Lonchura striata: one gene and its partner. The protein of the gene in region 2 purifies or fractionates together with the protein of the main gene of each other region. This does not show direct contact. Links are inferred from orthologs where the notes say so. Each region holds a gene or a part of one and is shown on either strand. Other genes may lie near its edges. The genes, in order: MAPK8 and DUSP4.

Region 1 (15,227 bases), on a different chromosome or scaffold from region 2:
ACTTCTTATTGGCCAAGGTAAAGGACTTTGCACAACAGTAAAAATTTCTCCATTGCCGTTCTTGTTTCAGACTTTCTTCATGAAGTTCAAAGAAATCTAATTTACATCATATTAGGTAGGCCACTGTCCTTGAGTAGAACTGAATATTTGATGTGCAATCAAGCCTGACCACATGAGGTCTTTAAAAATGAGCGCATAAGTTTTTTCAAAATTTGAAATAGCAAAAACTATTTTTGTTGACAAGCTGAATGACAATGGAAGAAAACACACCCGATTTTTTTTGTTTTCAATCAGTATTCATTAAGATTCTGAGAATAACTTTTCCCTTGCACTCTTTCTTACTGTCTTTGCTACTGTAACAGAGGGTGTCCCCTCTTAAACTTAGCTAGCATGAGAGCATGGAACCAACATACTCAGCCCCACTTTGTGTTAATCAGAGAAAATGAAGTTGCTTATGCAAAGCTGATCAGCAGCCTCTGACAGCCAGAGGGCAAGGGTCACTTCCCGATGAGAGTCTGAAGTTCACATACCATATGACATTGAATATTACTGCCTTCTAGACAGAGCAGGTGGCCACTGAGGACAGCACAGCCTCTCAGCTGAACAGAAGCCATGTGATAAGGAAAAGGCTGCATGAAAACATATCGGACACCTCAACTCTGGCATCCCAGATGAATTTTCACCAAGGTAAAGAAAGATTTATAGCCTGAACTGTTGGATAAGGATACAGACAGCCTTTTCTATGTCTTTCCCAAAGTAGATGGATTGTTTAATTTCATGCTGTAGTGATTACATGTAGTGTTGGATAAGATAGTTATTGCTGTACGTATAAATTACTTCATAATGGAAAGACTCTGAGGCAAGTCAGTGAGGTTTCTTTTCCTTATTTCCACAAAGGACAATAGTCTCAGGGCTGTGAAGCAATGATAACAAATCAGGTTGCACAGATTTGACTCTTAAAGCTCTTTGCATAAAACCTGTGCATATAAAACTCCTCAGCTTTCAAAACTGCTTTTGTACTTTGTATACTCCAGTGTATTTTGCAAGCTGGAGTTCTGTGAGGTTATTCTCCTGCCATTAAGGAATATATAGTCATCTTTCCTATTTGATTATTCAAGGAAAGATTTGTGGTTTATTTTTTTGATTTTAGCTTAATTTTCTATTCAAAAGATGTTTTATAAATTCACACAGTAATTGCTGTAGTGATTTCAAGACAAATTCAAATCCTGCTCACAATATAAATAAAACAGCATATACCAAGATTTTATTTCATCTGACTAAGATCAAGATATATTATCCCTCAGAGTAATTCTATAACTGTATCTTTTTTCTAGTGCCTACACTGTGCTGTTCACTTTGACAGTGATCTCTGATTTTGGAGCAAGGAGAAAGCTGGCCCAAGCTATACAAGATTTTTTGGGATATGCTCAGCATTAGGCATATGAGCAATACAATTCCTATTCAGTAAATCACACATTTGTGCCATGAAATCAGCTAGACTCAAACACAGACTTAAATATATCTGCAATATTTCCATTAGCTATTATTGGTTATAAGAGAAGGGGATTATTTTGGAAACATTGAGACAAGCTACCCATCAAGCCATATCGGTTCACTTATTCAACTGAGCTTGTAGATTCACACTTGCAAAAGTAGGTAGAAACTCTGCTGCTGCCAAAAAGGATGGCCCCATTTTCAACCCTGTATTAACCAGAAATTCCTGCCAGTTTCCTGACACTGGTTGCAGGGATTATTTGTCTGGTGTGATCTCTGTGTTTGCTCATGATTCAGATCACTTGACTTACACTTGCCAAAGGACTTCAATGAATTAGGGTGTCAATTATATTGAAAATGTGTGAGCTGCACTTTGCAAGACAACATTCCATTTCTTCCTTTTTTAAAATTAAAAATTATCCTTCAGAGATTCTGTAAAAGGACACAAGAGAATGCAAAACAAGAAAAGTCAGCGTGCAAGAAAAATATATACATCCTAATGAATTAGGATGTCCCATTAATGAAATTTCTGCATCTGCCTCTGGTAGTGGATTCTGTTTGGGCATTGTCCAGCCTGCACACAGAAAGAAGAAATTTTAGCTCAAAGTTTTGGACCTCAGAGTAGAAGGAATAAGAACTTTGCAGGTTATCTGCACTTTGCAACCTTTCAGTTAAACATGTAGAACAGAATTAATGAATTAGATTTGTTTTATATGGAATAATTGAGAACTATGAAAACCAATTTTGGTCAGAATAGGATATGAAAGTAATAGAATGATGTTACCATGCTTTCCTCAGTCTTTAAGGAATTGGAGTCAGGGTTAGAAGACAGAAGGATGAGGTCTATATAAAAATTAGCAGATCGAAATGTTATTTACATTAACTTGCAAATACAATGGCTTATTACCAAAGTATATGATTCACCACATTTCCTTTCTGTTTCCAGACAAAGGGCCCAGATTAATGAACTATAGTCAGTCAACAGAAGATTACAGACAACTCTCTGTGGATTGTAGTGATTCTAATAGTATTTCTGAAAGTACATCTTTGATACTGTCTAACCGAGGACACAGGAAAGGTAAGATTTTTAAAAAAAGATTATGTTTGTGAATTATTATCTATTTTGTCCCCTAAAGTGTGGGATTGACCATGTACCAGGTGACAGATACTCCTATGCAACTTGTGGTTATGTGACTTGGGAGGTATATTTGTGCTAAGTTGTAGGGAAGAAAGATATTTTTATATCTGATTATTTTTCACTTGTGTCCCACAGTACAGCTATAAATTTCCTGGCTACCATGTAGCTCCATCACCTCTTTCTTGCTTCATGCCCCCTTTGCCAGGTAAAGCTGTTCAGCAGATCACAAAGCTTGACATTATGTTTTTAGCACATGGGATCTTGACACAGAAAAGGTGGGGCTACCCCACAAATGCATATGGTGGGCAATGTCAAGACATCAGCTCTGAAATCAGCTGAATCTATAAATAACACCTAAGAGTGAATGTTCTATGGGGACATAATTCAGAGAGAAATTAGGCATATCATGGGAAAAAAACCCATAATATCATAGCCTCTCAGCCCTCAGCCCAAGGATGAGAAAGTGAGGTTACTGCTGTTGATGGTCTCCTCCTGCAAGGTGCTTTTCTGAAGCTCCAGAATTGCAATCAATATCAGCAGCAATGAAAACCTGAGACTGCAGCTGCTCCATGAGTGACACATACGTGTGAGTCACATACACAGTCACACACAGTGAAGACAAATTCAGAAGTCACTTTCATAAGCAATTTAAAAGACATTTTGGTCATAAACTTGACAAAGGCTCATTCCAGGGCCTTTGTGCATATCTCAATCTCCAATGAAGCACAGGTAGCTGTGCATACTCAGGAGTTTGTAATACAGGATTCTAAAAACACATGAGTAAACACAGAATGTGAGAGCTTATTTGTCACAAACATTCTTTCACAAAATAATACATCATAAAAAAAGCATTCTGCTATGATAAGAAATATTACTATCTAGCAGAGCACCATTATCAAAGGACATAAATATCTCTATCAAGACTGCACATTAGGAGCTCATTTAACATATAGTAAATCTACAGCATTAACTTCTTTGAAGAATACATGTTAATTTAATGTCAGGTGTGTGTTGGATTTGTGATCAAAGCATGGCAGTCTGGCCATGGAAAGTAGCCAAGTTGTCCCACTGCTAGAGCAGCTGATATAGAAAGACTAAGGAGAATTTTATGATCTTATCAAAATATATTTATACAAGTATATTAAAACCACAGTGCAAGCAGAGAATTTTGTGAGGTTTTCTCATTAAAAAGCATGTTGTTTCAGAACACAGGATTGAATCTTAACTTTGGTAACTAGCTTATCTCAAATCTCACATTTTGTCACTACCATCTGCAGCTTGAAAAAACCCCACATGTTTATTCTTATTTTAGCAATGGGACTGTAGATTTTCTAGGTTTCAAAATTGCAGTTGGTTGGTTGGTACACTAGAATTCAGTGTCACGTTTTCATGTTGGAATACAGAGTGAAGTCTCAGGGTGTAGTGCATGAATGTTTTATCAAAATGATTCCTTCCACACAGCTTGTTTACAACCTCTATCATCCTACTTATGTAATAGTTTGATATGCAAGTCTTCAAATAAGATCAATGAAATGATCAAAGTGAATAAGAATTTAACCTTCTCACCATTCCCTAAAGATTTCAAATATCTCTGCTGATACAAGAAACATTCATAGAACTACAACTTGTATAACCCTTTCTGGTTCTGCCTCTAAATTTCAGCCTTCATGACAAAGCAACACTTGTCCATAGTGTAGCAACAGAGATGATTGAAGGTGAAAAACAATGCAATCCTTATTTGCTAAGGAACCACAAGCCATCCACTATTCCTACCATGTTTGTATGTCGTAAAAACATTCACAATATATATAACATAGAAAGTAACCAGTGGAATAGATACAATCCTTTTCATTTAATTGATTTTATATTCTACTCTGATTAAGCCAGAGAAGTTTCATGCCTTTTTCTGCCCATTTTATGCCTGCAAATTGAAGAACAAAAATTGGACATAATTTCTGAAGAGAAAAAGCTGTTCCACAAATTACCCCCATACAGATGGAAATGACAGCCATTGTACCTACACAGCTGTTTTCCAAATTACATTCACATAAGGGGTTATGAAGAGGAAGTAACAATAACTAGGGAACTGGGAATACTGCTGGTGTAGTATTCATTAACCTTATTAAATAGCCATTTATCATGTCCAAGTGAGGATACAAGAGAGGAGATTGCCAGTTTAAATTTCTTCCCTGTTATAATTGTCCCAATATCCGATGCTGAGTGCCGCTACTATCACTTGAATTTTGAAATTTCCTATATTCATTGCAGGAAGAATTCCAGAGACACACAGATCATGTGACACCACACTTAGTGGGTCAAGGACACAAAGTAGCTACAAGCTCTTCATAAACAGGTAAGCTCAATTTATATTCTACAAGATGAAAGCTGTTTTATAAGCAAGTGAATCCAGCAGTTAGTGTGGCAATGCCAGTATCAGAAATGCCTGAATTGACATCTGAGCCTGCTTTGATAATAGATATCTATATCTATATCTATATCTATATCTATATCTATATCTATATATTATTATATTTATATAGAATAAATAACGTAATAAATACATAATATTCTACTATGTAGAATAAATAAATAATGTTCACCTACTCTTGGTTTGGCTCCAAGTCCAAAAAACCTGGGCCCTGAACGATCCATACAAAGCAGATGCAGGAATTCCACATTTACTCTGTACCAGTGTGTCCTGCCAGATGCCACAGGCCTCCCAGAATAGCTGCCCCCAGCTGTGTCTCCCCCAGGCAGGGAATCAGCATTAGTCCCCTGTGACTGAAACAGCTGGGAAACTGCTGCACAGACACTGTGGAAGGATGGATTTTATGATCTTAGAGGTCTTTTTTAACCTTACTAATGATATAATTTATGAAGGGAAAAATCTATTGAAAAGGTATTAATAGTCATCACTTTCCCTGTCAAGGCATTCTGCCAGAGTCCTTATTTGTCCACATTCAGATTTTGGATGTGGTCTAGCCTTGCTGTCACATTAAAGTGCTGTCACACCTTATGTGTTCTGTAGTGGTTATGTGAAACCATGTATATAATGTATAATTTTCATTTGCATTTCCATCTCAGTCCTTATACTGATTTTTCTCACTTGTGTCAGTCATGTCCAGCCCTGCACTGCCACTGTACTGGAGAGTTACAGGAAACCCAGGGTCACGAGCAGTAAAGACCTCTGCTCTGTCATGAGGATTAGCCTCATTTCAGCCATGGAATGGACAGCAGCCCTGTAGACATTGGCAAAGAAAAGTGAGGATTGTACAACTGATACTAAGTCCTTTTCAATAGCCAGGGAAACACCCCTGCTGCCAAACAAGAATTTTCTAGACTGGGTGTTAGCACAGTGCAGCTTCCAAACAAAGAGATGCAAGTACTGTCAGTCTCTAGGCATCACAAAGCCCAGAATCCCATAGTTAAGCACCATGTAATCCCTACAGACATCCCATTTAAATTGGGTTCTTGACCCAGTTAAACAGGAGTTTCTTCTTTTAACCATGACACGAGTAATTCAGGCCCACAGGAAATGCTCAATTTAGATCAACTCCCAATTAAATGTGTCCTAAGTAAACAGTTTGAACTTCCTGATAAATCAGCCATGATAATCTGGGCAATATGAGATACCCCAGTACACCTGTAAAACTGCAACAAGAGAGATCTACAAGCAGATTGCGGGATAGTGGCTGCTTTTGTCAAGAAAGAAGTCTCTGTCTACTTGTCTAACTACACACACACATATTTGTGTATGTGTTCACCAACATCTATATATGCATCATATATCTAACAGTTATATGAGTAACAGAGGATTTATTTACTGAGTACTTCACAGTAATTTCCATGCCTCTGACTAAAACTCTAGATATGATCTTAATGTACTTGATTTAAAATCATGCTGCCAAGAATAAGTTCACCTCCTCTGCTGAAGGACGAACTCTGTTCTCCAAATTTCCAGCAAGCTGCTTCCCATAGAACTTCAAGAACTTTAAACCCCACTCCTGGCTGTAAGCATCTGCAACTGAATGTCTACCACAGTCACCATTCTATTACAAGTACCATTACAGCAGTGGAGTTGAAATTACTTTGGAAATCACGTTTCCCATGTAGGAGTACAACCAACACAAAAATTAGTGATGGGTTTACTATCTATAAAGCTTACTTATATCATCATGCTCATTCTGTAGGAAGCCAAATTAACATAACTTACATCTCACAAAGTGAAGCTTGTAAACAAGGCTCTGGTCTATATCTAAAGAAGACACAACTGTAAAATCTGGCACATCTCACCTAACAGGAGTAATAACAGGAAGTGTTTTCCACAGTAAAAGAAAGCCTTCTTAATAATGAATTTTGGATTTTGAGGAGAGGAGAGGAGAGGAGAGGAGAGGAGAGGAGAGGAGAGGAGAGGAGACTCAATAATCATCTAGTCCAACTGCCTGAGCATTTCAGAGTTGACCAAAAGTTAAAGGATGTTATTAAGGTCATCTCCAAATGACTCTTAATAACTGACAGGCTTGGACCAGTGACCATCTCTTAGGTGGCCTGTTCCAGTGTTTGGCCCCCTCTTAAGGGAAAAAATGGTTCCTAACATCTCTGAACTCCACGTACTGTAGTTTTGAACTGCTCCCATGTTCCCTGTTATTGGATACTAGGCAGAAGAGATGAGAAACTACTCTAGTTAATTTTTGAAAAATTTTTAGAAATTCCTTGAATAGTTGCCTGATGTAAATCTTCAATGTGCAAAAGAAAATGATAAAACTTTAGGATAATGGAAAAGCTTCTATGTGTCTTTAGCATTTGCTGAAAAAATGTAATTAACAAAAATCCACCTCAATAAAACCCCTCCCGAACAACATAATCATTTCTTGTTCAAAGCTACAGTACAGAGACAGCTTTCTGATCTGAGGTTTCACACACCTTTTTCTTAATTAAATTAAAAAATCCCTCAGTTCCCTAGGACATTAATTTATCCTAATGAATTAGTATTCAAATAATTTAATTCCCATTTCTGGAAAAATTCTGAATAATGTAACAACAAACGTTAAGGCTTTCTGAAGCTTTTTTCTTGAGAAAATAATAAATGAGGAACTTTCTTCATCCTGTAGAATTCCCAGAAGGGAATGGGGCTGCACTTTTTGCCTGTCGGCTTCACCAAACTTAAACCAGCTGCATTTGGCTCACCAAATGAAGGAAAGAAACAAACCTGACTCTATTGAATCAAAGCAGAGTTTAGATTTATTTATAACGGAGAGTTATAAATAAATCTAGAGTTATACTCCTGTTAAATTTTTCTTTTTTTGTAAAGAGACATTAAGGAGCTTATAACAGACATTGTCCTGGACTTCATCATATTCAGTAGTTACTGTACCTTAAGATCTCTGCCCCCAGGTCACTGTTGTGTTGACTGCATGTTAGATCTTTTTCTCACATTTCCTTTGAAGGTCGGTGAGTGCTGTAGAAGAAATCCCGGGTGGAACTGCGAAGAACAGCCGACAGAACCTGATAAGCTTGGGATCCACCTTCTCTGTGTCCACAAAGGACTCCTCAGCAGCTGCCGCATCACAGAAATGTTTGTTCCACAGGAAGGAAAAGGTGAATGACGAAAAACATATAAGCTGATTTCAAAATGTAAATATCACTAAAGAGAAGCCTCTCATCTAATTTTTGTTTGACAATGATGTGCATATTAGCTACTGAGTCATCTTATTAGATGAGTATTCTAAATTGACAGACTCCAAATTAGGCATGATCCAGTTATGCTGTCAGAACCGAAGGCAGTGAAAGCAATTGTCTGTAAGGACTAAGCAAAAGCTCATAATTGAACCCTCTCTGACCTACATATGTGATTTCTGCCAGCATCAAGCACCATATGGACTGTTTTCCCCAACCACTTCGACAGCAGTTTCAGAACAGCAAAAACTTTACAGAGACAGTGTACCCAAATGCCTGCCAGCCAGTGATGCTCAAAGGACTTAAATTTCTTTTTACAGTGCATGTCTGGACAGAAAGCATAGGCTGACAGTGAATGGGCCCAGACAGTAGTTCTCCTAACTGACTTTTTCTACTTTCTAAGTTGTAGTAGGACTCTGTTAAATGGAAAGGACAAAGTTTCTTTCAAAGGTATGCTGTTTTGCAGTCTTTTCCGGTTTGCAAAAATTCAGAAATAACTTATTCACAGAAAACTCCACCATGATCCTTCATATGGAGTTTTCTGTTGTGGAACAAGAAGGGACAGGTTTCAGGCTGATGAACCCTTTCACCTCTTCCCAGTCCAGAAGCTCAGCAGTGACCAGTGACAAATATTTGGTCAAGAGCTTCACTTAGATACTTTGGAAAATTATATTTCCTCATATGAATTTTATATTATATTTATTTTATACATTATATTTATATGATTTAAATGTTGTGATTATGGTTTTTGTGGGGATAATAACAGCCTTTCACAGGAGTTCAGCAACTGTTACAACACAGTGCTACTCCCTCTTTAATGTGATGCAAAACTGCATTGTCTGTTGGTAAGACCATACTGCTATGAAATTTCTTTCTTTTTTTTTTTAAGTATCTAAATGGGTCAAGTTACTAAGTCACGGTGAATGGCTGGAAGGATTCACATCTTATTATTTGAAGACATTTAATTATTCTGTCTGCTTAAGGGATCTAAAAGCATAGATGTATCTGATAAAAACCCAATATATACAACTAGTTGAGATGGATACTCAGCAAGGAAAAAAGAGCTTAAAACTGTTGAAGTTATTTGCAATTAAAACAAAAGAATACAATGTCTAATAATAAGAACCATCAGTCAGCCTTTATTATGGGGAAGAAAGCAGCTCTGCATTTCAGTCTAGTTCTTAGGGAAGTTGGGCTTAAGCAATCACAGTGGTGTGTTTGTATGTTTCTGTGTCTGTGACTGTCCTCAAAGTAATTTGGGAATCAAATGAGAAAAGGTCTCAGAATAAATTGTTTCTATAAGTGTCATGAAAATAGATACCTTGCAAAGGAAATGGATTTTGATTAAGTACCTTTACAGAAGAAAAGGCTTCCACATGAGCTTAGCCCTACTTAGACCCTGGAGAGTCTACAAAGGAGAGACACCAAAGAGAGAGAAGTCACCAGTCAGCATTTGCACCTTATTCAACACTGAAGTCAATTAGGTCCAGCATACAGATCAATAGAAATGGGTTTCATTGATACTTGTGTTTGGGATCTTCATTCCATTAAGAAGACTTACAAAATTTCTAAATTGCCTCCTTGCAGTTTTCAGGTCCAGAATTTATTATTTTGTCAAGTGAACCACCAGTGACCTTACAGCTGCCTGGATCAATTGTGGTAAGAATGAACATTAAGGATTTTGAACAAATCCAGTGACATTTCAGTCAGGGCTCTTTGTAAATAGCACCTGAGTCTCAAGCCAGTATTCTCTCCATGTCCTCCTCTCAAAACAAGTTAGGGTTCCTTGCAGAGATATTGAGACTTGAAAGGGTGTCCATTAATTCTTAGTGCTATTTAGTTATTTCTGTTGGTGTAAAAAAAAGCTTGATTTATCCTTCTCAGCTAAGAATGTTCACTTTAGCCCTAGACCTTTGAGACAAAGACTGTGTAGTAAATCTGCAATATGACATCTAGTTCCAATGCATGGGACTTCTCCAGCTTGCAAGCAGATACTTTACCTTTCATCAAGGTAAGGTAGAAAGATGACAGCAGATAGCTGTAAAAATGAGAGCAAAACAAATTTGGAAGTAGCACCAAATCTAGAATAACTCTGGCACCTGGAGAATTTGAGTATGCTCATCTGTTTTGTTGTGATTCTTTTGGTTTTAAGGAAATAAGAAAAGTTTGTGATATTAATTTATGAGAAGGGAGGCAGAGATTAGCATGGTGTTGTGACCAATTCCATCAGTTGCATAGAGACAGGCTACTAGTGGGCCTCAATATAAAATGCTGTGGAACTTGCATTGCTTGTACTTGGCACTCATTCTTCATTCTTTCTTGCATGTTCTTAGACTAAAAAAGGGAAATCCTATTTGTCCCAAAGGGATCTCAATGTGATTCTACTCAATGGCCAGTGCCTTGAGGTGCAATGTGATATCAAGACCAAGGCAAGAGATGTTTTCAACACTGTGGTGGCATATGCAAACTTGGTGGAGCATTTCTACTTTGGCTTGGCTTACCTGAAAGGTAACGAGACAGTTATTTATATATGAGACAATGCCTCTGTAGTCACTTTATCAATGAATTCCAGTAAGAATTAATCAAGGAATCATTCAAGAATGCATCAAATAATCATTCATCAAGAATTAATTCAAAGATCCTTTAAGATCCTTGGGTAGAAGCAGACACAAAGCTTGTGCAAAAGTAAGGTATGTTGGTTTAAACTGCATTGCACTGGTGTAAAGCATGTCTGCCCTAGGACTGTGCACAGCACAGCCATACAACATTTACTCACTGATATTCCCAGGCAGAAAAGGCTGTATCCCAGCCTTGCACTCAAATAACACTGAGCCATGCAGGTCCAGCAGAAATTCCAGGAAGCATTGCACTGGGAAAGGCTGCCTGTGTTTATTCCTAGATATAAGTGGGAGTACAGGTTCAGCTGTGTCATCTACCAGACCCACATCTCCCTGGTCCCCTTCTGATGGCAGGCACAGCTGAGGCACTGGGAAAGAGCACACCTTGTGTGTGGGCATGAGGATTACAAAGGGGTGCAGAACCTGAGTGGTGAGAAGAATGCAAGCTCCATGAGTCCTTGAGTGATTTCTCAGATACCATACTAATCCAGCATCTAACATTTGTAATCCAAAATTACATACTGTCCTAAGTTCTACATCAAAGGAGCAATAACTAAAATTTGAGAAGTTAAAGCTGAGAACTAAATCTTAGCTGACATCCCCAATCCAATTTATTTTTTATTGCTAGTGATGCACTCTATGAAGACAGCAGAACTATGCTGCTGAAGTATATCCAGGTTTATCACAGAACCCAAAATTCTCATTTCAGGTAAAGAATTCTTCTTTTTGGATGAGGAGACCAAACTCTACAAAGTGGCTCCAGACGGCTGGAATGACCAACCCAAGAAGAAAATGTCCATCATTAATTTCACACTTTTTCTAAGGATAAAATTTTTTGTCAACCACTTTAATGTTATTCAGTAAGTGCAAAATTCTGCTGACTGAAGGAAAACTGGTAGCATTTAGGGATACCATTCAAAGCTCCTCCTGAGTTCCTAAACCCTTTTCTATTCCAGGCATGGCTTGACAAGGCACCAGTTTTACCTGCAGCTTCGTAAAGATATTTTGGAGGAGCGATTATATTGCAGTGATGAGACTGCCCTGAAACTCGGCGCTTTGGCTTTACAGGCAGAGCTTGGCAATTATGCTTCTGAGGTGTGGAGAAATAATACAGTATTTCTCAGAGGTCTCTCTCTACAACTTTTGCAGCTTTTGTCACATAGAGTTTAAAGAAGAAATGTGAATAGCAAAGAACTTCAGTTAAGTCCTCCAGATAAGTCCTTCAGACTTAATTTTAAAAATTACAAAATATTCCTGATTATGGAGTAGTAATGAGCCAGGTGAATTTGCCAGGAAATATGGCAGAATGATGAGAGAGTCTAGGTCCTTCATTGATAATATAGCCTAGAAACTCTAGAAAATCTGTAGAAAGTTTCCAACACAGGCCCAGCTTGGATGTGTGGAGGGGCTTAAAGAGATTAGTAAAGAGGGAAGAGAAAAGCAAATGAACGCTTCAGAATTCACAGCTGTCTTATGTGTAGGCTCAGATCCACAAGCTGCAAAGACAGGGAGGTCTCTGATTGTATATCTGAACTGGCTGTCCTAGTTTTCAAGTGCATATAAAACACCCATTTATGTTGCTTCCATAACTTCAGCTATGTAAATCAGGGTAGCTCTGTTAATTGAACTCGGAGTGGTCTAATCCATGTGGTCAGATCAATCATGGCAATGGGTCCCCCACTGTAGGTTGTACTGATGCAGCTGTAGCTGTCAGCTCTAAGGGCAGGACACGCCTGTAGGCCCAGATCCTTCCTCTCCTCTGCCCAAAGAAGTGATGTGTGCTTTGAGCAGCTGCCTGAGCACAGGGGCAAGAGGCAATTTGGCTGTCAGGACACTGCGTGCTGTCCCCAGTTTCCTTTGGGAAATGGCAGCAGGGTGACTTCTGCATATGGGTCACCCTGAAAATGGAATGCGATGAATAAGAAAAGTCAAGAAAGAACAAAAGGCTCCTGTCTCTTTGTTTTTCCCCCACAGATGCATGGAAAGAGCTATTTTCGTGTTGAAGACTACGTTCCAGCAAGTCGAATAGAGAAAATGACCCTGGCATATGTACAGCGAGAGCTTGCTAAACTACATCGTATGAATCGCTCCCTATTTGAGGATGAAGCTGAACTAGAATTTTTAAAGGTAACTTGCCATACCCCAAACACTATTTATTAATTTTGAGGTAGAGAGCCCCTCTCTATTTACCGTTGTTTATTTTCTTCTTGTCTGATACAATGGTAGATATGGTGAAAAAATTTGAATAGTCAACAAAAATCTCAAAATTTTATTCTGTTGTAGATACTGTCACTTATCACTGAGGGTTTTCATAACAAGTTTTGGTGTATTTGCAGCATTCTAAGGTTTGATGTAAATTTTTGGCATGTTACCAATATGTCTGGTATCCAGAAGATTATAAAACATGAGACTAAGCACTTTTTTGACTTCTGAAATTAAAGCAGCTGTTCAGCTACTTTCTAAATATGTAGTGATTGTTTGTTTAAAAGTATCTGTGAACCTTGGAAGTGAGGAAGGAGTTATCTGAAATATTTTTGCACTTGACTATTTCTCTAGAGCTCTAAAGTGTCACAATGACGTGGGATTTAACTTTTTTCCTGCTAATTTCTTTCTCTCCAAACCTCTCTGCTTTCCATCAAATGAAAAATATAAAGGATTAGATAATGGATAAATACCAGTAGTCATTTTGCTGCAGTGCCACATGCTGTTATTTATAGCATCATTTTAGTTCAGTTGCTATTTAGTTATATTAGTTCTTCATCTAACACTGTCAGTGCAATTAAGAAATAGATTGAAGCTTAGCCTAAATGACAGTCCCATGATGCATGGCAAATCCAATGAAGAAAAAGAAGCTTTGTTAGTATCTGTTTCAATGAATAAGTCTGTAGAAGGAGCCAACTCATCATACAAAGTGAGAAAGACAGACCCCATGGCAAGAAAATGTAAATTCCAAATATGAAAGGGATTAAAAATTAAAACCCAGATTCAGCTAGTGATTATAGATGCCCCAGTTTTCAGGACCTGAACGTTTATACTATGGTTACTTTCTGAAAAAACAGATCTTCTTAAAGTGTTTTATTTTGGTCACTGAAAACCTCTGTTCACAATTGAAAAGTCATTTGAGGATTCTACAGTAGCTTCCCAGAAAGAAAATATAAGGTTTTAGGATAAACTCATATTGGTCTGTAGATTAGACAGAAAATCCTAGTCCTATTCCATAGTTCTGTAAAGTGTCTGAGCCACATTTTAACACTTTCATGGCCAAGTACAGTAGGTAGAAAGACAAGCATCAACACCCAGAACCTCTGGGTGAGTTTCTCAGAATATCCCCTGCATGGTTAGATGGCAGGGGCAGACACTCCTAAGACACTCAAAAACATTTTCTCTTCCATCTACCTTTCTTCCCATGAATCTTTTTGAGTAAGGGCATGGTTAAAATACTTTTTCCCTACAAGGTGACTCAGCAACTTCCTGAATATGGAGTGTTATTCTATCGTGTGTCCCAAGAGAAGAAAGGGACAGAAGGGGACATCATCCTGGGAATCTGTGCCAAAGGCATCATCGTCTATGAGAACAAAAATCACACAAGAATTGCCAGTTTAAGATTCCAGTGGCGAGAAACAGAGAGAATTTCAGCTCACGTGAGTTGGAACTAACTGAATCTCTTCTCTACTCTACTGCTTAACTGCCTTTCTTCCTGTCGCTTTGATAAATTTATTGCATTCAGAGTGAGAATTAGATTCACTCTATATGGGCAAGTCCTTTCTGAAAAGAGCTTCAAATCAAAGCTGGATCTGAATGTGGATATGAACATACAAAGAATTCATTCTTTTTGAGGTATAGTTCCACAGTATTTATGCTGAGGCCAAAGACAAATTGCCATAAAACCAAATAATCTGGTGCTGACTATTACAGAGACTATGCCAAATCTCTCCACAGTATATTCCATATTAATTCATCTCTTGTCTTTACTGCTCTTTTCTTCTGTTTTTCTGACTACATCAGGTCATGGGATGATGTCTTCCACTTTCCAGATCTCATTATTCCCAACCTCATCTTTTAGTATATTGATGTTTGCTAACAAACTAATATTGGTGACAAGATTGCGACCCATTTCTAAATGGGATTTTGACATTAGAGGTGTATCAATGTACAGTTCAGGTGTCAAATTGGATTACACATTTCCCAGCTTGTTTGCTCTCCAAAAATATTCCTTCTCCCCGTTGGAGATATGTTCCCTTTCATATTAAATTTGTTTCATAATTTTAACATCTGTAGGGCCAAATTTTGCGGTTTTAGCA
Region 2 (15,879 bases):
AAACCACTGAGAAGCGAATTGAAGGAGGCTGGGACAGTTGTCCAGCCTCATTTCACGTTCCTCCGGAGGCACAGAGCACCACCAGCCAAGGTCTCCCATCTGTTCCACCTCTCAAAGAGGGCCCAGCTTTAAAGTTCAGTGGGGACGCCTGGGACAAAGTCCATGAAGACCTTCACGGACACAATCATCTGACGTTTTTGGGTGTGAGTCAATGCCTGATGCACCAAGACAGGAGGTGAATCAGTCACAGGGCTCTGCTGGGGGTGTCTAGAAAGAATCACGGCAGCTGCGGTCACTTCTGACCCCCTGGGCCATCCACACTTGACCCCATGGCTGCCTCATCTCCGGCAGGGGACAGAAAGACACGACAAGCCAGGGCCACGTGTCCCTGCCAGATTCGTGTGATCAGGTCGCAGCAGGAGCTGAGATCATCTGTGGAGCAGAGAAGGGAGATTAACTGGAGGCACAAAGAAGCCCCAGAGGGATTTCAGACTTTCTCCTCTTGTCACAGCCTCCTGTGGATGGCTGTGATGCTCAGGTCCCTGGGGTCCACGGCTGCTGGCACAGGGCCCGTGGGAAGGATGTGCGATTGTTCGCGTGCTGAGACAGCGCCCAAGGCAGAGCCCAGGCTGGGAGGCAATGGAGAAGGAAAAAGCCTGTCTTTAAACTTGAAGCTGATTTGGGGTTTTGTCTTGTCACAATTACGATGATTGACTCTCTGTGCCTCAGGAGTGATTTCTGGATATAAATCTTCCTTTGGTTTTTTTAATATACATTTGCCATTGTCTTGGTCCCAGGCAAGCATCAGGCCATGCCAGCCAAGTTAGAGTCACAGAGCTAAGGCTGCATTGGCCTACGTGAGGCTGCTTTTGTTCTAACCCCTCTGCTCAGCAACTTTACACAGAGCAACACCAGTGTGAGGCACAGATACACAGAAGTAGCACAAATGTGTGTCAGAAGGAGTTCAGCTACACTTCTGGCCTTTGAAGAGTTCAAGCTCAGCAATCTCCCTGTGTTTAGTAACCACCCATGTGCTTTGCTTCCAGGAATTTATCCTTTTACTTTTGATGCTCTGTAAACTCAGAGCATGCACAGGTCCTGCAGCAAGGTGTTTCCCTGGTTAACAGCTTGTGCAAGTTGGTGCTCCTTATGTGAGTTTGACCTTGCCAGACAACACTTTTGGTTCCCATGTCCAGGCACCTGGATGAACCCTCAGCATCTCCATGCCTCACAAGAGGGCACAGTCCTGTTGAAAGAGCCTCTGAGGAGCCCAGCTCCCACCTGGCCCACTGCTTGAGGGACAAGAGACCGAGTTTGTCCCAGGAAAAGCAGCAGGTTTCCGTTCCCCTAGTGCCTGCCACTTGGGCCTTGGGATCAGGAACGAGTACAAGGGAGCTGCTTGAAGCCAATTGCACCCCTTGTGTCTGTAAAAGAAGTACCAGACACAAATCATCCCTCCCTCAGTGTAACTTGGAGGGATGTCCCAGTTACTGCTGGCACAGAACAACCTGTATTTCCACTGCTGTTTCAAAACTCATACAGGTACCACTGCTACATTCATAAAAATTAGTGGGAGATTTGTCATTCATAGCCTTAGTGTATGAGTCTGACACTATGTATAAATAGGTTATAGTCACACTTACATAACACTGCCTTATTTATGATCTTAAGCCCAAGGGAGAAATGTCTCTTCCCAGCCCTTTCTTCCTAGCAGAAAACGTCATTCAAAGCTCAGCTTCAATCCTATCACTGAGGCCGGATGCTTAACCAAACACTGGGAAATTCAAGCGAGGCATTTCTCTTTCAACTTGCAAACAGTGATGTACCCAAAGAAGGCAGCTGCTAGGATCTCTGTGCCCATGATTAAATATTGCACCAGGGCTGGAGAGTTTTCAGGAGTGATCCCTGGCTTCAGAGCCATGAGAGATATAATGTGTGTTAAAGGCAAAATGTCACAGGCTATGTTAAAGGTTAAAATGCCACATCCCTTAGCGGCTTCAATCTAGTTCTCAAAGCAGACCCCTTACACTGCATTTGTCTTACAGCAAACTGAGAGGAGGGGATCAACTTTCTTTCACAGATTCACTTCTCTGGCTCTCTGCTGCATCCCCAAATCCTGCAGCCAAAGATGTAAGACTAATCCCCATGGCACTAAAAATTCTGGGATTAAGAGACCCATGTGCCTGTTTTATCCACCTCTGCTTTATAATCCTTCGTTTTAATAACATGACCACAGACCATGTATGTCCTGACACCTGGAATGGGGAAAGCTTCAGGGTTTTTGTGAAAAGCAGGAGATGGAAGGGGATTGGAAGAGGATGCTGATGGGGTCTGACACAGCACCACATTTGTATAAAATCATGACAAAATGTAAAGCATAGTCTGCGCAGATTCTTATATCAGGAAGAAGCTTCCCAGTGTGGGCTACCCTGGTTCACCAAGGCTGCAGCAACATTCAGCAATCACCCTGGATCCTACCACCCACCCCCCAGTCTGAAGCACTGGTAGAGACTGTGCCCAGGAGACAGCCAGGCTGGCTCTGCACCTGCCGGGACCCGAACCAGAGCTGGTCTCTGGTTCCTGGTGTTGTGGAGGGGTGATATAGAGGGGCAAGTCTGCCACACCTGTGGGAACATTGGGCTCCTAAGTCCTTCAGAGCAGGAGTGATGGATGTATGAGTTCTGCATGCCCTTTCCCACTGTCCAGTCTTCAGGAGTCCCACCAGCAGCGAACCTCCAAACCCTGCAACTGGTGTCCCCTCACACTTCCCACCAAAACCAGGCAGGTCAAAAAGAAACAGCACAGGATTTTGGAAGGCTCCCTGTTTCTGCAGGCAGAATTTAGGCCTGTTGCAGAGCAGCCCTCACCTAGCAGAAGCCATTGCTCTTCTTAAAATCTTATTCCCATTACTGACCATGCTGGATCAGGCCTCACGTTTCTCACCCAGAGTAACTGGGGCTGCACTGACTTTTACAAGCAGAAATAAAAGCAGTGGCAAAAAGCAGGAGGTTGAGAGAGAGAGAGAGAGAGTGGGGAGAGAAACCAAATCTGCAGCAGAAAATCTGCAGGCCACTTTGTATCCTGCTAATTTGAGTGGGTCCGGCCCTGATCTCATTTGCATGGGCATAAACCATTTGTAGCTATTGAGGTACATGGAGGACCCATCAATGTTCTGAAGAAGTGCTCCTTTGCTTTCAGGAATAAAGGCTGCTTTTTCCATCTTCCAATCTAAATCAGATCAGAGGCCCAGAAATGAGTCTCCTATCTAGTGATTTATGGCTCTATCTGATATTGCAGGGAAAAAGCAACAGATTATTTGTTCTTCTTGAGATAAAATCTGTAGGGCTGGAGTGGGGATTACACACCAAGGCCTCAGCAGAGAGCAGAGAAAGCAGACCTGGCAAAGCTCCTGGCATTTTTCATGTGCTGTCAAAGGCTTTTGGGTTCGCATGCGGAGAGCTTTGTGGCTTGAGGCAACAAAGACTGTGGCAGGGTTCAAGCAGCCTGGTGTGAAGGAGCAAGGATGGGATAGGGAAGCACCTCAGCCCAGCCTGGAACAAATCCCCTTCCTTGGCTCCCTTGCCTCTTGCTCCAAGCACACACAGTGTTTTCAAAAAGCCCTGAGAGATTGTCTGCTGAAAAACTAGTTATGGCTGAGCCGCTCTTGTGACTGCCCACCAAGAGCTGCATTTCCTCTGGCTGCCTTGGAGGATGGGGTGATGATCTGGGACATGCTTGCTGAAATATGCTGTTGTGACCCTGGGACACATCTGGGACAGTATGGAGCTTAGCTATGAGAAGCCAGTGCAGGAGGGATGCATTTGGGCCTGAACAGCTACCTGCCCTCTGGTTCTTCCTTCTCTCCAGGGGTGTCCCATGCTAGGCAAGGCGCTGCCCTGGGGCCTAGGCTGGTCACATGCTTCTGCAGCTGAGGGGTTGGAAAGCACTGAAAATGAACATTTTCCCCTCCTCCACCTTCTCAGCCAACCTTGCATAATTTCCCCTTTAGCCTCTCTAGACAGGTTCATTACAATTCCCATCCATTAATATGTAAATATGCCCTAGAGGAAAGACAGCCTGAATTTATTAACATGAATCTTTTAACTCTTTCACTGCTGCACTTCCCTTTGTGGACAGGAGGGTGCATTCCCCAGCCTGGAAAGCTGTGAGGAAGGGAGATGGCAGGAAAGGAGAACTGTAAAGTGCTCCAAGAGGATAGAAGGGAACCATGCCCCTGTGGCACTCTGGGAGGGTAAGGCTTTTCGGTAAGTGCGGACTTGCAAGTTGCTAAGACCTTGATCCTGCCTTTCATTTCTGCCAAAGGCTTCCTGCACATGCCAGGGCAAACCACTCAACCCTTTGGCCAGCCACTGGCAGCAGCCAAGGAAAGGTGGCAGTATCTTTATGCTGCAACCATTGCCACGTGCCAAGAGTAGTGAGGATGTACCTCTGTGCTTTGTCCATCCATAGCTCCACTGGCTGACCAGGAGGATGGAGGGAGTCAAGCTCTTGGGAAAACTTCAGCATAACAAAGTCCTGGCCACTGTTCCTGCCCAGCGGCACAGAGGCAGGCACATCTGTCAGGTAGCTGAGACCTGCACTGTGAGCCAGCACATCAGGACTCCATGAGTGCACACTGGGGCCAGGAGCCAGGGGAGCAGAGCCAGGAAACCTGGAGGAGTCCAGAGGGCTCGCAGAGCTTAGCATCTTAAGAGCTGCCCACAGCAACTATTGCCCACCCAGGGGAACTTATGCTTTGGCATTTCTCTGGGCAGAAAAAACCTTGAGGTAGCCCAACAAATGGGGATCTATTGGCTGGCAAATTTACAGCCTGACTCTAATTTGGTTTTCACTGCCACAGTGAGATGAGGTGTAAATTCCTTTTTCTTAATTCAAGTTACATATTGACATTTAATCATCCAAATATGTGCCTCCTTTGACAATTCATTTCCCTTCAACCCTTTCAACAATTGTCTTTTCTGGCCAGGGCCCTATAAAAGATGATTCCTTGACTCTGCTGCAAAGGAAATGAATGTATCTTGCTCTCTCTCTTTTCTTTTGGTTGTTTGTTTTCCAGTGGGATATATTTCAGTTTGCACCATACGGATGCTCTTTGACAGGAATATTAGCTTTCACACTTCTCTGGGTTTACAAAGTCAGGCATGGAGCCATGTGGTCTTCTCCAATCTCCACCCCCTATCCCCAATCTTTTCCATACACCCTGCCCCTTCAGCCCACATAGCTGTGCTGCTTCTTTTGACTTGTGGCTTCTGCTTTGCAAGCATTTTGGGTGACTCTCATCTTAATACCTCTATAAATAAAGTTAATTAGATTTCCTTTTGAGCTAACTGCAGTGAGGGAGATCCTTCTTCTCCTCCAGCGGTGTGTCATGGCCTTGCCTTGGTTCATTTTGGGCACTCTCGCCTTTGGGTTCAATTTCTCCACATCTGTGAGCCACCAGCCCCAGCAGAGCGCCAGCTCCAGAGGTGACCAGCCAGGAGCACAGATGTGACAATGCCTAGTGTGGGTGCACAGTGGGATTCCCAGCAGCCTGACTGGGTGCAGCTTATTTTCCAGGAAGCCAAGAACCTGCCACATCTAGATAGGGCAGCAGGAAGGGATGAAGAGTAGGGAGAGGGTTCAGTCACATGGAAATACCTGAAAATCTCCACCAGATGCACATGCACACACATCCTTCCACACTCTGCCCTGAAGTAATATCCTTCATCAGTGCTCTTGCAAACATCAAGGAACGTCAGCCCAAATGCCCCTTCCTGCACCCATGACAATACTGCCCTCCTCTCCTACCTCAGATGGGTTTGTCCCAGTCACACACTGGATGAGAAAGGGAAAAATAGGATGATGGATCTGCCTCCAAGGACATACACTTTGTGCCCTTGGTTATCCAACTTTAGCGTAAAAGCTGGAGTGAATAGTGCAGAGGGCATTTGAGACACCAGGCTAGCTCATCCTGTGTTGGTGGCCAGCAGCTGCCCAAGAGGAACAAAGAAAACAAAATATTTTAGCATCAGGCCTTGCACAAAACTTTTTAAGATGCTTTGATGATCCAACTTGAGTTCAAGGACTCTTGGTACGAGAGTATGATTTCCCATTAATTTGTAATCAAATTCTCAGTTTGAGATTTTTGTCTCTGGCAGCTTTCTCTACAGGAAGAAAGAATGTTTTTGGTATGTCACTGGCCACCCAGAGTCTGCTTTACTTCAGCAGAAATAGGGTTTTGCTATTCTTGTGTTTGATGCATGTTAGAATGGGGGACGATTAGCCTTCCACCCTTGTATTAGGCAACAGGCTCTAATGCACCCTGGAGGGGGGTTTATTACACAAATGGCAGCTGTGTTTCCCCCACAGCTCATCTGATTTGGCTTGGCTGGCAAAAGGTTGGCATGGCACACAAAAGCCACAGGTGCAAAGATTGGGCTGACTCAGGCCGAGGGGAGAATCCAGCAGCGGTCAGAGAGCAGAGTGTAAAGGATGCAGGAGTGTCACCAGCTGTAGGTCCTGCACGTGTGTGCTAGGCTGGATTCCTCCCAGGCAGGCACACACAGCAAGGTGTTACCCTGCCGTGCCTGGGTAAACAGCGACCGAGTATGCAGGGGAGGGGAAGCCAAGCTGCCTCTCCAAGCGCTGCCCTCTGTGAAAAGCAGTGACAGGGCAGATGAGCTTGAGTAAGCATTGGGCCCCTAACCTTACACCCACCACATCCAAGTCCACATCTGGATAGCTGAACACCTTCAGGTCTCTGAAGCACACTCACCTGGGACTGGCCGGCATCAGCGTGCAGGAAATGCCCTGAGCACTGTTGCTGGCATTGTGGTTTGCGATGCTGCTTCTGTTTGAAAGCAGTCTGAAAGGGGACTTTGGGGTGAAATGATTGCTCGGTGTTTGGGTGGTGGTTATGGGGAGACCCTCCTGGGACACTTCAGGGCTGTGCATTTACTCCTTAGTCTTTTAATAGAAAATTGAATTCCTCTATGTGAGGAATGAAATCAGGCAGGGTGCTGTAGTGTTTTCAGGGCTCTGCAGCCAACGAGATGCCGTTTTCTGACAGGGGAAGCGTGGCCGTGAAAGATGCATAGCCAGAAGGACCCAGAGGGACCCTGCAGAGCTGACAGCGGGCCCTGCTCAGTGCCCCCCGCCGCGGCAGTCCAAGCGAAACAGCAGCAAGGAGACAAAGGAAGAGGAATGTGCGCAGCGTGTGCCCGGCCTGCTGTGTGCGTGTGCCTGAGTGTGTGTGTGTGTGTGTGTGTGTGTGTGTGTGTGTGTGTGTGTGTCTGTGTGTGTGTGTGTGTGTGTGTGTGTGTGTCTGTGTGTGTGTGTGTCTGTGTGTGTGTCTGTGTGTGTGTGTGTGTGTCTCTGTGTGTGTGTGTGTGTGTCTCTGTGTGTGTGTCTGTGTGTGTGTCTGTGTGTGTGTGTGTCTCTGTGTGTCTCTGTGTGTGTGTGTGTGTGTGTGTGTGTGTGTGTGTCTCTGTGTGTCTCTGTGTGTGTGCGTGTGTGTCTCTGTGTGTGTCTGTGTGTATGTCTGTGTGTGTGTCTGTGTGTCTGTGTGTCTGTGTAGACGGGCGCGTGTCCCGCAGCCTGTGCACGCGCGCGTGTGTCCCGCAGCGTGCGGGTCCCGGGGGGCGCGGGCGGGGGTGACACGGGCTGCCCCGCGGTGACAAAGGCGCGGCGCGTCGCGCCGCTCTCGCCCATTCACAACCCGGACGGGTTTTCTTTTTTTTTTTGTGAATGGAGGCGGTGACGTCGCCGCGCCCGCGCGCCGCCTCCCCTCCATTCATGCGGCCGCGGCGCGCCGCGAATGGGCGGGGCGGGGCGGGGCGGGGGCGCGCGCCGGCCGCCGCCGGGTAGTAAAGGCTGCGCGCGGCGCGCGCGGGGGTGCGCGAGCGGCGCGGGCGGCGGGCGCGGGGCGCGGCGGGCGCTCGCTCCCCCCGCCATGGTGGCCACCGAGGGGCTGCGCGAGATGGAGGGCAGCGCGCTGCGCCGCCTCGTCGGCCGCGACGAGGCCGGGGCCGGCGGCGCCGCGCGGTGCCTGGTGCTGGACTGCCGCCCCTTCCTGGCGCACAGCGCCGGGCACATCCGCGGGGCGCTCAACGTGCGCTGCAACACGATCGTGCGGCGGCGGGCGAAGGGCGCCGTGAGCCTGGAGCAGATCCTGCCGGCCGAGGGCGAGGTGCGGGCGCGGCTGCGGGCCGGGCTCTACTCCGCCGTCGTGGTGTACGACGAGCGCAGCCCGCGCGCCGAGGCCCTGCGCGAGGACAGCACCGTGGCGCTCGTGGTGCGCGCGCTCCGTCGCGACACGGCGCGCGCCGACATCCGCCTCCTGGCAGGTACCGCCGGCGGGAGCGGGCGGGGGACACCGGGAATGCCGGGCGGGAGCCGGCGGCGGACGGCCGCCCGCGCCCGGGAGCGAGGTCCGGGCTCGCCGTGCCCCGGGCGCTGCGCTGCCTCCCCCCGGCGGCGGCTGTCCCGCAGAAGTTGGGAGCCGGCGGGAGCGCTGGGGGCCGCACGCACCGGGGCTGCGCCGCCCCGGAGCGGGGTCCCGGCTCCGCCGCAGCGCGGCCATCAGCCCCGAGCGTGGGTGCCCGGGCGGTCTGAGCCGGCTCCGGGGCATCGACCGGCCCCGTGGCCCTCCCCGGGACCTGAGGGAAGTGAGCGTGTTGGGGGGAATCCCCCCACGCTTTGTTTGAGTCCGTCCCCGGCCCCGTGGTGCGCAGGAGGTGTTTGTGCAGGTCAAATACCTGCTGTCACGGCGATGTCCCCTTGCAGCGGGCAGAAACCCCGGGGACGCCTCTGTGCTCCTTTTGCGACTACAGCAGGGATCAGGACTCCCCCCCTCTGCCGTGTGTTAAAATGGGAAGCTGTGCACATTTGGAGCTGCTGGTCCTGAGAATTGCCTTGAGATGATTTAGAGGCGGGGGATGCTCAGCTGGGGTTCCTGGATGAGCTCTGGGGGGCTTTTTCTTTTTTGTTTACAGCCTGAGAGTCAATTTATTCCTTGGCTTACTTACAGCAGGAGTGAGGATGTGTATGCAGAGTAGCAAATCCATTAAGAGGCTTGATAGATGGAGGAACTAGCGCTTCGGTTGTAGTAGATACAGTAAAAGCAGCAGGAGCTGTTCCAGGGATGCGATACGACGTGCTGCTGCGGGAGTGCCTGTACAGCAAGGGCTTGCTCAGGAGCAGGCTCCTTCACCGCGAGCCAGCGTGGTGCTGGAGCCACGCATGTGGCAGGAAATGCTGCTCTCCTGCAAGGGTGGCCTTTGTCAGCTAAGAGCTTCTGGTGCCTCTGTGGTTCTCGTGGGAGGTTGGTAGGAATGGGAGCTCTTTTAAGGAATGGGCTCCGAGAGACTCAGTCTCAGCACTACAGTCTTCTTTTTGCGTTCCACAGAGCCACTGAAATAATCTTGTTCTGATTCCATGAGGGCTACACTAACCCAGAGCTGTGCATGCCCAAGTGCACATTTGTGGGGTGCAGGTCACAATGAAAATCCTGAAGTGTTTTGTGCAGGTCAGGCTGCTGCCAGGTTCCCTGTGAAGCAGCCGGCCTGGGGGTTGCTTGGCCATAGGCACCTGCTCTGCCTGGCTCCTGCACCGGGCAGGGCTGGTGTGAACAGCCAGGAGCTGCTGGATCAATGAATCTGATGAAATTCATTGAAGAGAAGCATTTGAATAGGTCTCTTTTTCTTTCCAAGAACCATTCTTTCCAAGATTTTTCTGCCCATCACCCTGGGTAGCTTTTCCCTCTCATGGTGTGATGACCACTGGAGTGTGATGTAGTAGATCCAGAGATTTTAAGACCAGAACCCTGGAACTTGTCTAACAAAGACTTTTGGTTTTGGATGCTCTTTCAAATCGAAGCAGTAAGACTGTAAAGGGATGTCAGGCCGGGGAAATGAAGCTTCTGCAAACTGTCCTGGCTGCGTGGGAGGGACAATGCAAATGCAGTGATAGATCTGCACGGTTCTGCTTTAAGGTACTAGAGCCCTTCCTTTTGTAGGGGGAGGAAGCCACAAAGGACACTGGGATGCTGGCAGTATCGGGCTCTAGCTGCCCAGGGATCCCTGGGCTGCTTGAGAAGCTTGCTTCCATTGTTTTGAATATCCAGCCTTGTTCAGGGCAGTCTCAGAGCTTAGGCTGGGTAAGAAGTATCCTGCTGTACGCTCTGCTAAGCCAAAATCTGCAGGCATAGGTCCTGCAGTTGGTTTGAGTCTTCAGGAACCAACCTGGGAGTCAGGGCTTGATCTAGCTGGAATCCTATGATGATAGTAAAATAATGATTTTCATTGATTTTGAGGCTCAAAGTCAGACCCTTCAAGGATGTCAGGGTTGTTGACTTGATCTGAATGAGAGAAGGAAATCTCACCAGAAGTGTTTATTGGCAGGCCAACACTGCAGTTTCCCTGTCCTGGGAACTCAGTGGGATTTGCTCATTTCACCGGCCATGAGGAAGCCGTGACATTCCCTGTGCTGCTTATCCCCCTGGCAGCAGGTCAGATGAACAAGCTGCTCCATGTTCAGCTTGCACCTGAGTCCTTGGGAAGCAGCAGACTCCTCTCTTGGAGAGCAGTTTGGCTGTGGGGTCAGCCAGAGCCAGGGCTTTCCTGGTCTGTTGTTTTGGAAGCTCTGAGCTGGAGGGTCAAGCTGGGAATGGGAGACCTGCCTGTCTTGTGACAAAATGATGTGTCAAGGGAAGAGGAGAACTGAATAGTCTTTGGCCTCGGAGCAGCTTTTCCCATTTAAGTCTGAGTATGCTCAGAGAGCAACCTTGGCCTCATTCTGGAGTTTTGGCTGGCAGTATGCAGGGAACCGAACCCTGGACCAGAGACTTTGGGTGGCCAAGATCATTGCTCTTGGTGCTCTTGCTCCAAGGGAATGGTGGGGCCGCAGGGATTTCCCCCTTGCTGCCAAGAGCCTGACTGCTCCTCCTGGGGCAGGAGACCACTCTCCATCGCTGTAGCATCATCTAGTGGCCAAGGGCATCTCCGGCTGTGCCGTTCCGCAGTCCTGTGAACGCGGTCTGGGGTAACACTTTGTGCCTCTCTTCTTGCAGGGGGCTATGAGCGCTTCTCCTCGGAGTACCCTGAATTCTGCGCAAAAACCAAGTCCCTGAGCAATGTGTCACCCCCCACCAGCGCTGAGCCCCTGGATCTGGGCTGCAGTTCCTGTGGGACCCCTTTCCATGACCAGGTATGTCTAAAAGCCCAGTGCTTAGCTAGCTTGACTGCCCTTCCAGCATTACAACCTGCTCCAACAGGAGTCTCTCTGCTCTCCCTTAGCTGGGGCTCACGAAGCCAAAGCCCTACTTCCTTTCCTCTCATGGGAAAGCATGGTGGTCCTCCTAAGCCCAGGGTGTTTGTGTGCCCCGCTGAGTGGACACGCCCAAATCCTTTTAACCCACACCTGCCTGTTTCTGAATAGGACAAAGGCAGATAGAGGAAGGGCTGAAACAGGTTTAGCACCTCAGGAAGGCAGCCTCTGCTCCCTCTTCTGAGGACCCTGGATCGGGTGCCAGGTTGCCGCACAGCTCGTCGTTTCCAAGCCATCTGGATGTGTGTCCTGCCTCCCACTGTCCCCTGGTCAACCTGTTGTTTTCTTCTGTCACAGGGTGGGCCTGTGGAGATCCTTCCCTTCCTCTACCTTGGCAGCGCCTACCACGCAGCCCGGCGGGACATGCTTGATGCACTGGGCATCACAGCCCTGCTGAACGTCTCCTCAGACTGCCCCAACCACTTTGAGGGGCACTACCAGTACAAGTGTATCCCTGTGGAGGATAACCACAAAGCTGACATCAGCTCCTGGTTCATGGAGGCAATTGAGTACATTGGTGAGTGCCCGTGCAGAGATGTCGTGTCCATTGGTGGCACCGGTGGGAGGGAGGTCAGCCACCACCTGCAGGTTGGGTGAGGGGCTGGGCTGTGGTGGCAGGGTGTGGGTCTCACATCTCACCCCTGTTGCCCTCCAGACTCAGTGAAGGAGTGCTGTGGCCGGGTCCTGGTGCACTGCCAGGCTGGCATCTCCCGCTCAGCCACCATCTGCTTGGCGTACCTGATGATGAAGAAACGTGTCAAGCTAGAGGAGGCCTTTGAGTTTGTCAAGCAGCGCCGGAGCATCATCTCCCCCAACTTCAGCTTCATGGGGCAGCTGCTGCAGTTTGAGTCGCAGGTGTTAGCCACTTCATACGCAGTGGAGGCCGTCAGCCCCTCGGGGACACTGCGGGAGCGGGGCAAGGCCACCTCCACCCCCACCTCGCAGTTTGTCTTCAGCTTCCCAGTGTCTGTCGGTGTCCATGCCACCCCCAGCAGCCTCCCCTACCTGCACAGCCCCATCACCACGTCGCCCAGCTGTTAGCTCAGGGCCGAGGCCAGCCAGGCAGGTAGTGCCAGGCGTGCAGGGGCGTGGAGCCCTGTGATGTTAAGCAATAGTGCCGGACACTGCCATTCACCCTGGACTCACCATCCTTTTCGTAGGGAAATTTTTTACCTCATCTTGGTTTGTTTGCTTTTTATTGTTATGTTTTGAAAGCACGAGGTTGTAAAAGCCACAAACCTTGACACTGTCCAGGCTCTTTGGGGGAGGAAAAAGATAGTATACTGGGTTTCCTCAAGTGCCTGGTCTTCACGTGTTTCCATCCCGATTTTATTGTCTTGTTTTTTTACACCTCCCCTTCTCCCCATGTTTCTGCCTCAGCTCATCTAGGTTGACAAAGGAGCATACCCTGTTTTATTGTGCAGCAGCCTTCCCCCTTGCAGAGAGACCTGTGTGTTTATGGCAAGTGCTGCTTACCTGAGCCAGGTACACTTTGGACAAGCAGAGCTGCAGGCAGGGCTTTGGGGTGAGCAGGAGTGGTGGCACAGGGCTGCCTGCACTCAACCTCAGCCCTGCCAGTGGCTGGGGAGATGAGGCAGGAGCTGGCAGGCACCTGCCAAGTCACCAGCTGAGCCTATTCCAGGGGGAGAGCAATCTCTGTGGTTGGGAAGTGGTTTGGAGGGAGAGATGTAGTCTGAAATGCCTTTTCTTGCCTCTGTGGATCACTGGTTTCTAGAAAACTTAGGTCCAATCTCCTGTGGCTTTAAGATGAGAAAGAAGGGGTTGGGGCAGCAGTCTGGGCTGCTTTTGATTACTCTGCTCAGTTTCCTCTCCACCAGTCCCACTGCTGCTCTTCTTCCAAAAGGAGCAGGACGGGACATGGGTGGGCTGTAATGGAAGAGAGAAGCTGTGGGGTGGAGGACAGGCTGGCCCAGAGGTGTCATTCATCCAGCATTTTCAAGCTTCTTCCACATCATGGCCAGCCCTTTTCCTGTGCTGAGTCTTGTTCACCTGTGCAACATTTCTGCAGCTTTTGGTCCAAGCCTTGAAAATGCCTCATCTTCAACCCACCTGGAGCCTTATTTCCCACCCTACCTCTGTCCTTCCCTCCAGTCCAGTCCAACACACAAGATGCCTGTGTGGCTGATGTACATATGTATGGTTTTGTTCTTTTTTTTTTTTTTTCTAGAAATTAACTTTTTATTTATTGCCTGAGGGAGGGAGAAAACATTGTTTGGAGAAAATAAAAATAAAACTGTTTTCAACAGTTTGGCTGGAGCAAATTTGTCCTAAGAGCAAGACAGAACAGCAGGTTGTGCACACATTCCATTTTCACAGAGCAACTGTTAAAAATGTATTTATTGACTTTTAAACTATTACAAGTATTGCAGATCAGACATTTAGCCAAGCACACTTATAGATCAAACTCAGTTGTTACAGAGATGTTACCTAAAGTCCACCATGTAGATAGGCTGAGAAACTGCCCATCGTCTTCAACTTTGAGAGAGAAGGTAAAAGAAGAAATAAATAAATGATATCCCAGCTCCAGGTAATTGGCAACCAAGAGAGGACAAACACAGGGCTAGTTATGAAAACAAGTTACACAAAAAAGGTCTAGAAATTCAACCCCTAGCTACATTGCCATCTGGGTTGCCAGAGAAAGCTATTAGGAATGACAAAGCACAAGCTCATGGGACCACAGCACAGGAAATCCCCATTTCAATTTCCAAAGCTGAAGCAAGTTCTGCAGATGTTAAGAAAGTGTCAAAATTATCTTGTAATGACAGAGATTCTAATAATCTACATTAGTAATTAAGGGGACCAGCACTAAAACTTGCCGCAAACAGGTTCAGCAACACCAATACATCAAAACCAGTCAGATAATGTGACTTGACAGGCATATGTGTCAGTGTAATGGAAATGCATTTGCTTCCCAAGTCCCCTACAGATTCCCAGGCTCATTCACCTTGCTTCAGAGATTTTAACACACATACAATGTTCCCCAATCCCCTGGGTTTCACATCTACTCTGTGTTTAGAGGTGGGAACACTGCCGCTCCCTCTCTGCACTCCTGCTACTTTTGGAAAGACCAGGAAAGCATGCTCTGGACTGTGCCAAGCCACCACCTCTGATCACCAATGGATTCAAGTCTGTGGAGGTTCACAAGCCAGTTGTTATGTGAGGCAAGAACTGAATATATGCTTTCCCAGGTCTTCCCTATCCAGGCTGCAGCATAGCTTACATTGCTGGACAAATATTCAGCTTAACAAAACTGAAGCATGCATTAGATGCATGACCTCTTGGATTTCTAAGCTGGACTTCCTGTGGGAAAGCAGCATGGAAACAGAGAAATCCCACTGAAAATAAATTCACATATTTCCTGACATTCAGCTTCTGAGAATGATTTGCAATGTTCAAACTAATCTGTTTTGTGGCTGGACCTTTCTGTTTACCCATCTTGAAAAATCCTGTTCAGGGCAATTTCTGTTAACAGTCCCATATGGAAATTGCAGGCAGTGCATGAACTGTGCAGAAACTGATGTCATTGCAGGGTTGCTGGAGGCTTGTTTGAGATTTGCCACTGTCTTAAGTAGCCCTCACAGGCCATGCAGTGGCATAACATGTTTGCATCCCTCAGCACCTCACACATTCACAGGGAGCAGACATCTCCTCTAACCTAAATAAACAGCAGGAGCAAGGAGGTTTCCAGAGCCAAGAAAGTGCCTTTCTCTAGGGGCTACTCCCTCCCATATACCACATACCTTTTCTGTGTCTGCTGGCCACCACAGCCAAGGGTGCAGAACATTTTGCAGGGTTTTCTCTCTGCTTCAGTGTAGAACTTTATTTTGGGGTATTCCCATAACAAACAAGCAAAGTTTAAGCTTGCAGGCAAAATAAATTCCTGCTACATAATGCAGTGGGATTCAATTGCATCACATGCAAACACTCGAAACAGAGTTCAGAAAACCAATAGTGACTGCAACATGGTGGAACTAGTATAAGAGGTTTGTAACAGTCTCTGTGGAGCTGGGGTCAAACACAACTGATAGATAAAAATAAAAATGAAAAAATAAAATATACCTTATTAAGGTACTGTACTGTCTGTTTTTAATCCTAACAAAAATTTTGTTGACAGCAATCGGAATGCAGTGTTACTCTGCACCAAGTATCTAAGTCATCAGTCTCATGGAAACAGTTTCAGCAATGGAGAGCAGAACCCTCCCTCCTTTGTTAGGTGGTGACTTTTCTTTCTGTTTTTTCTATTAAGGTCCTGTTGCAAAACTACACAGAAGCTTCAAAATGCTGCCTCAAAGGGACACTGACAAAAATCAATAGGCCTGAGAGACACATTGTCCCTTGTGCCAGCAGACACCAAGTTCTGTCCCTGGTCTCCCAAGCCTATGAGGGCCTAGCCCAGTGTTCTTACATCCTCAGCTCCTACTGTGCCTCCCACTGGTGATCCAATGCTGCAAAATGAGTATCCCCGTATCAGGGGACTGCTCTTCTCAGGAGGACAAAAACTTCATTTCTCAGGAGGCAGCAACTGCTGGTTAT

What was found.
Region 1: the proteins of DUSP4 (region 2) and MAPK8 purify together in Homo sapiens (affinity purification with western blotting; 3 studies listed by BioGRID and IntAct, with this or other methods). This does not show direct contact. The link is inferred for Lonchura striata from reciprocal best matches to the Homo sapiens genes DUSP4 and MAPK8.

Annotation. Positions count from the first base shown.
Region 1 is NC_134609.1:14,835,903-14,851,129, reverse strand, and holds the start of MAPK8 (mitogen-activated protein kinase 8), read right to left. Parts: upstream 8,093-15,227; 5' UTR 8,007-8,092; intron 4,986-8,006; exon of another isoform or gene 4,901-4,985; intron 2,573-4,900; exon of another isoform or gene 2,554-2,572; intron 2,534-2,553; coding exon of another isoform or gene 2,441-2,533; intron 688-2,440; coding exon of another isoform or gene 561-687; intron 1-560. Other genes in the region: FRMPD2 (FERM and PDZ domain-containing protein 2), read left to right, coding at 561-687, 2,441-2,533, 8,817-8,944, 9,896-9,967, 10,642-10,816, 11,636-11,786, 11,883-12,021, 12,901-13,053 and 1 more. UniProt on the Homo sapiens protein: Serine/threonine-protein kinase involved in various processes such as cell proliferation, differentiation, migration, transformation and programmed cell death.
Region 2 is NC_134606.1:44,023,423-44,039,301, reverse strand, and holds DUSP4 (dual specificity protein phosphatase 4), read left to right. Parts: upstream 1-7,951; coding exon 7,952-8,474; intron 8,475-11,044; coding exon 11,045-11,205; intron 11,206-11,622; coding exon 11,623-11,842; intron 11,843-11,980; coding exon 11,981-12,366; 3' UTR 12,367-13,591; downstream 13,592-15,879. UniProt on the Homo sapiens protein: Regulates mitogenic signal transduction by dephosphorylating both Thr and Tyr residues on MAP kinases ERK1 and ERK2.